Drosophila melanogaster: one gene and its partner. The protein of the gene in region 1 purifies or fractionates together with the protein of each later gene. This does not show direct contact. Each region holds a gene or a part of one and is shown on either strand. Other genes may lie near its edges.

Region 1 (3,318 bases):
ATAGAAGCAGTGCTTCAGATACTCGGGCTGTTCGGGAGCAGCCGGCGGAAGGGGTGCGGGCGAAGTGGTCGACGTGGTCGAGGTGGAGTGCGATGTGCTTGTGGATGTTGTGTCTGTCACAGATCCCGGATCGGACATGCTTTGCGTCTCGGCCAAACTTGATGCCGTCGTGGTTTCCCCAATGCCCACGTTATCAGTTGTTAGGATGGGAGCAGGTATTGCTGTTCCCTGCTCATCTTCCTTCAGCGGCGCATGGGGATGGGCATGGTGATGATGGCGAGCCTGTGGATGTGCGTGTGCATGTGGAGTAGACTCCTCGCCTAGTGCAGCCGGATCCGGTGTGTGTGCTATTTCTGGCCGCGCGCATGCGCCTGCTACAAGGAGCAGCAGGAGCAGGAGCCATGTGCCCTGCAACGACAACGACAATCAAAGGGCGCGTTAAAGCGAATCGAGTGGGGAAATGGGAAAAACGCCGTGTCGCACGTTGGACATACATATGCAAATATTTGCTACACCAGACGCGTTTGTTTGCAAATCGAATTAGACCGACGAGGGCTTGGCCTGGCTCGTCCTCCAATTGCCGTAATTAGGGTAAGTGAGGCACACCCTGTACGCATAAGTTGCTGGGCCTGCGGCTCTGGGAGTCGGGAGGGTCTTCGGTATCCAACTGGTTTCTAATTGTTTGCCCACTCGATTTAGCGTCTTGCGGGCCAACTGCCAACAACACTGCCATGCTAATTCGGCAATTAATTAACGAATCGTATGTGATAAAAGGGCAATAAAAAGATTAATTGTGTTAGGCAGCAATTGTGGGCGGGTCGGTGTCGGTTGGTGGCAAATTGTCGGCTTCGGCATGGAGTGGAAGTGGAAGGGGGCTATTTCCAGATCTTTGGCTGGTCAAAACAGCATAACAGTTTGGTATTACCATAGGCCAATAATAGGTTTGGTATGGAAAACATTTCCTTTTTGGCTTAAATGTTCCATAGCGTGTGAGGATACGAGGATTAACTAAAGATGGCCTCTGATTTCAAGGCAAATGCGCTTCTTTTCACAACTACAATATGAGAAATACCTATGCTGTATGAGTATAATAACTGGGTGTGGTATAAAATATAGAGCCATGGGTAGTATAACCTCACTAGCAGCACCCCTCCCTCGGAGCAATTTAGAGTGCTTTCGAGATTATAAACACAATATCAGTATCGGCATGCCCATGTCCATACCCCTACCCCTCCTGCTACAGGTACACCCATACACTAGCAGAGCTGCATGCGCATTGGACTTACGTGGGTGTACGCGAGCATGTCGCCTCCGAAATGAATTCCACTAGGTGCTCCCTGGCAGGTTTACTCCTCGACTAGGTGGCGCGGGAACGGAGCGGTCATCCACATCCGAGGAATCGCAATCATACGGAAGTGTTCACAATTTAAATGCTTTGCGCACATCCCAGTCCCAGCGGAGAGGAGCTACTTTCTGGGCGGTTCTGCAGGCTCGTTCGGTCCGCCAGGTGATCTGCCACAGATCCGTGCATGGGAAGAATCGGTCGGGTGTGATACGTAGGTGAAACACAAAAGTATCTCGACTCGAATTGATAAACTACGAACAAAACAAAATGCAAATGTTAAGTGCGCGCAGCGCAGCAGAGCACTCGCTGTTAAGTCTGATGTTAAATGCTCTGTTCGCCGCGGGCAATCGACTTATCGATACAGTGACATCGTTTGCACTGCGATTCGATAGTTGGCAAACGTAATCCGTTGAATCAATTTATATAATAAACACATATATATTTAATTTATTGTTCATCTTTAACTTAGCAACAGGACAGTAATAACCTATAGGATTAATATAAGAAATTTAATGTATGACCCATAACAGGAATGGGTTAACACATAAGGGTTAAGGCCATATATCGATATAAACGTCGATTGTGACCGCCGTTTGCGCATCTCTGAATCTGGCGCTCACAAGTTTAATCAAGTTGCTGTTTTTTAAGTCAAATATAAGCTTTTTAATAGTTCCCTTCAAGCGGATTCCGTGAAATTGTTTATGTTGTCGAGTAGCAAGTTGGAGAATTCAAGACCAACACTAAAAGGCAGGATACAAACGGAACGGGTGGCGTAATCGGAAACGTCATACTGCCGCACGGAACAAAGTCTAAACAGGAAATACTAGCATAGCGTTGCGAAATTCGGGCCAACTCCACGTAGCCTAAATATGCCCATAGATACGCGCGAGTTGATGGAGGCGATAGCCATCGTAGCGGACGAGCGCAACGTCCGCGTCGCCGTCAAGCAGTCCGGCAAGGGAGCGGCAATCTGCGCCGCCTGCTCCTTTGCGGGTGGCATGCTCCTGGGCCCCGTTGGGCTGGCGGTTGGCGGGGCCGCCGGCGGAATCGCCGCCTACAAGATGACAAGCGGTAAGCGGAGGAGAACTCCCGTACTCAGTCTCACTACATTTCCACTTCCCTCCTCCCGAACAGGCACATTCCGTCCGCTGGGCGAAGTCATCCTAAACGACCTGACGGACGCACAGCGAGAGCAGCTGGTGCAGCACGTAACCATGGCCGTGGCCGACATACATCCCACCGACGTGGTGATGCTGCTGCCGCTGATTGTCCAGAACGCCTCCATTCAGCAGGCTGTGCTTAACACTGTCATGTCATTCGTGACCAACGAGTTGCGCATGCAGATTGTGGACTGACCTGCTCTGCGGGCAAGTGGGCGATGGCCAGGTAACTGTAGAATTTGGACGGCTATCTCAGTCGAAACCTTTGTGATCAGTGTAGGTTTATTTATAATAATAAATACTTTATATGTACATAAATATTTGGGTCTGAACGACGGTGGTAGCGAACTACTCCCACTCGACATTCACCTGCTCCCAGTCGTCAACGAACGGCTGGTCGATGGTGCTGATTAGCAGCCCGCAGAATAGGCAATCCGCAGCAAGAATATCCTCGATCTCGGTTTTCAGTGCCGCCCTCTTCCGCTGCAGCTCCATCGCCTGCTGTTTGCTCAGGGCACCTGACTGCGGTTGCGCCTGCGTTTGCACCTCCGCCTCCAGTTGCTGCTTTAGAGTGCCGAGGCGCCGACATTGCTCCTTGGTGAGCAAGGGCACAACGTGCTTCTCCAGGCAATCGCTGTGGAACTTGTGGCCGCAGATGAAGATGAAAAAGGGCTTAACCAGCAGCATCATCTCGCAAATTTCGCAAGTATCCTGAGACTCAACGGTGAGGCTGTGCTGGCGCAATTGCTGCAACTCGGCGGTGACGCGATCGGTTTGCTCCGTAGTCTCGGCCATTTCACGCTGCAGCTCCTG
Region 2 (4,140 bases), on another chromosome or scaffold:
CTGCAGCACTCCAAGGCGCGCACCCATATGCAAACCACCAATACACCGGGAGGATCGAAGGCCAAGGACCGCAAGTTCACCTTGACCATGGAGGATCTGCAGCCGGCTTTGGCCGACTACGGTATTAATGTTAGGAAAGTGGACTATAGTCAGTAGATAATGGCATGCATTGTAGTAGTTTTTTTCTCATTAAAAATAATGTATCTTAAGATCTGTGTTTTGGGAATTTATTGCGAAAGACCTTGGGATCTTAATGCATTCTCATTCTTTCAAGAAATCCATTTAGTAAAGGGATTTAAGTCCATAGAATGCGTAACTAATCGAGCATATACAAGGTAATTTGTTTTTTTTTATAATGTTATACAAAAGCTATTAACTAGGCGGTTAATACTAGGAGTATGTTTACTGGCATGTTATGAATTTTCTGAAACTGCGAGATGTTCCTCCAGCCACCCGGAAGGCCAGGACTCCCGTAAGTATGGTGACCAAGTAGTTTATCAGCAGAGTGGTCGTGTAAAGCTCATTGGCATTGAGCAGAGTTATCAGGGAGACGAACAGGTGGCTGAAAACCACATAGCCTATGTGGATATAGTTGTTTGTGTCGAATGCGTTGAAGAAAATAACGCTCCAGAAGGTGTGCAGCAGGATAATCGACAACGCCTGGGCAGCCGAGGTGACGAAGAATAGCTCAGTTCCGCCCTTCAAGCCCATGGTGCCGGGACCACTCTAAAAACCAAAAGATCTGTCATTGCTCGGAGCACATTACGCACCTTTGCTGCACTCACCATATCAGCCAGCACATTGACCAGTGCAAACATCCCGGATATAATGCCGAATCCCAAGCCGGAGACATAGGCCAGGATGTGCTTGTTGTCCGTCACTCGCGTGTCCTCCGCCACGGCGTGCAATCCCTGCTCCGTGCTGCGCAGTATCCGGTAGATGATGTACCGGAAGGCTTCCTGGAAGCACACCGAGAAGACCACGCCAAATGCCAGGAACTCCTTCAGCGGAATCAGGGCATACCACAGGGAAGAGATCAGCAGGGAAAGCAGCCAGAAGAATGCCGCCGCAATCAGAATGATGATCCGCACTGGATCATTGGCGATGGTGAAGACGAACAAGGCGAAGGGCGGTCCGAAGGCGATGAAGGTGCAGCCAAAGAACTCGGGCAACGTCATCTTGTCTTTGTATTATTACTGTTTTTTCTTTTGCTCTGTGGGTGTTTTGGTTTACTTGGGAAGAGGAAGCAGAGACTCGCATAGAGTTGCCAGACTTTTGCAGTGCCATTCGGGCTGCCACACTGTACGTTTTAGTAGTGTACATACCCTACACAGATGAGTACATTAGCTTGTGCGTCACGCAAAAGTATACAAATTATTTAAACTGCGAGAATTATCCAAACAAATGGGAATCTTTTAATCTTAACTTAATTGCCTAATTACCTATCCTTTGCTTTAATTTGTATATAAAAACCAAATCCAGCCTTTAAAAGTAATATCTACTGAACTACAGAAAGGGTATATTAGGACCGCTTTTGAAGATACATTTTTGAAAGCTGCCAGACTGCAGAGCACTAATGTCTTCATACCCTACTATATAAAGTCTGTTAATTCAAAAATAACTTGTTGCTAAAGTACACGATATGTATTAGAGCTCATAAAAATTGTAGCCTACTAAATCATTATACAATTTATAGAAATATTTAATATTATTCAAAAATTTAGAATATAGTTATTCTAAATGTTCCCTAAGAGCCATACCCGCGTAGGGTGTTACAGAGGCCGCCTATGCGGGATTCACACGCACAAAACAAAGGCCTCCGTCCCACTTGCAATGTTTTTGTTTGGGGCGGAATTAGTCACTGTAAATTGACTCAACAACTATGCCAACCGCATAATCCGCCGTAAACCAGAAGCGAATTGCAAGTGCCCAGCTGCGGATCGAAAACAGCAGCCCAGCGAGAAATCACAAAGAGATTCATAGAACCCGTATGCCCAGTGAGCACAGTGAAACCTCCAATTAGCAGTTCGTCGTTCATTTGGTTTCGTTTTTTCTTTTACCCCAGTTCACGCCGTGATGGCCAAGCGCCTGCACCACCAGCCTACCTTCGATGGGGATCCACCCGGTCCGGATGAGCTGGACAGTCCAGCCATCGAGGCGGCGGCCCTCGACATTCCCCCTCCCGAATCCGATAAGGCGCTCCAAAAAGGTTTGTGTAACCATTATCTCACACTCGCAAAATATGTAGGTACAGTGGATAATCTCTAAGGCGAATATTGTCTGTATCTTCTTAGGTGTCTGGGAGCGAGCCACAAGTGCTGAGTATAAGCCGACCACGGATGGGAGCACCGTGCTCCGCTTTGACATCTTGCTGGCCCACATAATGCCGCCCGATGGCGAGGATGTGAAGATCAAGCGGTTCGTGGTCTATGAGCTCACTGTTAAGCAGGATGGAGCCACGGAGGACACTCAGCCGGCAAAGATTGAGCGCCGATACACCGACTTTCGGGAGCTTTATCTGGGCCTTAAGCGGCAGCATCCGGCGGAGATGGCCAACAAGTACTTCCCAGCCAAGGTCCTGATGGGTAACTTCAAGTCCGAGCTGATCGGCGAACGGAGTGCAGCCTTCGAGGCATTCCTCACGTATGTGGCAAGCCAGGCGATGCTCCGGGACTCGGAGTACTTCCTGCGCTTCCTGCAGCACGACGAACTGACCAGGGCGTGCCAGTTTCTGGATGAGCGGCGTAACGAAATGGCCATACCTATTCTGGAGAACTGTTTCCGCTTGCTGAACAAGATATACATGAATCGATCGAGGCCGGTGCTTTTGATACTCTGCCGTCTAGTGGCTGCCTGCACCTCATCCCCAGTGCCTCATCACGCGGCCGAGAGGTGGGCCCTGCTGGCACTGAGTCGCTTCGAGACGTTGTGCGATATTGATCTGCTGCCGCTCTACATTCCCCTGCTTCACACCTGCGCCCATCTGTGGTGAGTCCAATCGAATCTTTCCGCATTAAGAAAAAGGCTAATCTGAATATCTCATCCTTTCAGGTGGCAGCGCGGCCAGGACCAAAAGCCAATCACCGACCGACTGACTGACATGTCCAAGCAGGGCATCAACACGGCGAACACCGAGAGCCTCATGCAGGCTATACACAAGATCGATCCTCGCACTGAAACAATTTGAATCGTGAATCTCCGCTACAATTTTCATCCATTAGTTTAATATTTTGTTCTGTAGTCTTTAGCTGTCCGGCGAAAAGTGCAATTAGATAATGTGTGCAATTAGTTTTAAGGTGAAAGAAGTATTTATCAACCTTTGAGGTAGAGCCCATATGTACCCCCTTTGTCCTCCAAAGTAGTCCGTTCGTGCGAACAATGTGTCACAAAGCATAACCAATTTAAGACAACAATTAAAAAAAAAAAGTATGTACGTCTCTTCGTCTAAATGTTTAATTCGTTATTTTAAAACTCTGATTTTCAAATTAAAATGTTAGATTTTTATAACTAAATCAAAGATTTTCAAATAATTTAACTAAAATTGGTTCTTATTAATAGCTTACATTAATATTGCGACTAAATGTAATTCGAAACAAAAAGGTTCTGTTCGTAACGTACTGCTTTGGTAACTTAAAGGTTAGTCTAAGCATATTTATGTTTCATGTTACGTATTGTTTGATATCTCTTCAATCGTCTAGTTTGTAGTTTGTACCCAGTGGGAGTTGTGATTAAGCCGTGCAACGTACATAATTCACAAATCCATCATCGAATGTCCATGACGCAGTGTCTCAAAATCCATGCCCAGAATTCCATATCAGCCTGCGGAAATATCAGACAAGTCAAACGAACAACGCAGCTCCCAGACTTTTTTGTTTTTTTTTTCTTCCAGCCCAATGTCTTGTGATTGCTTTTTCAATAAATAAATATTATACTCAAGTGTTTTGCAGAACAAATGTGGTCAATTATATCTAAATGGTATATATTTAATGGTTTGCCTTATGCCTATGCTTGTTTGTGAGTCATTTTAGGTTTTAAACTTAGAGCTAGGAGTGCACGCTGATGTAAATAACTTACTGCTAAATTCTGTGAGGATCTCTTGACCGCACTCAAAATGTACAATTCAAATTATATATAACTTAT

Evidence for each region.
Region 2: the proteins of CG3740 (region 1) and Snx21 purify together in Drosophila melanogaster (affinity purification with mass spectrometry, with the first as the bait; one large-scale study listed by BioGRID). This does not show direct contact.

What each region holds. Positions count from the first base shown.
Region 1 is NC_004354.4:1,667,906-1,671,223, reverse strand, and holds CG3740 (uncharacterized protein), read left to right. Parts: upstream 1-1,926; 5' UTR 1,927-2,214; coding exon 2,215-2,416; intron 2,417-2,435; exon of another isoform or gene 2,436-2,479; coding exon 2,480-2,700; 3' UTR 2,701-2,818; downstream 2,819-3,318. Other genes in the region: hfw (halfway), read right to left, coding at 1-408, 1,287-1,304; dor (deep orange), read right to left, coding at 2,854-3,318.
Region 2 is NT_033779.5:2,763,353-2,767,492, reverse strand, and holds Snx21 (sorting nexin 21), read left to right. Parts: upstream 1-1,827; 5' UTR 1,828-1,990; coding exon 1,991-1,997; intron 1,998-2,065; coding exon 2,066-2,209; intron 2,210-2,294; coding exon 2,295-2,988; intron 2,989-3,051; coding exon 3,052-3,187; 3' UTR 3,188-3,415; downstream 3,416-4,140. Other genes in the region: Taf10b (TBP-associated factor 10b), read left to right, coding at 1-156; aph-1 (anterior pharynx defective 1), read right to left, coding at 403-726, 786-1,178.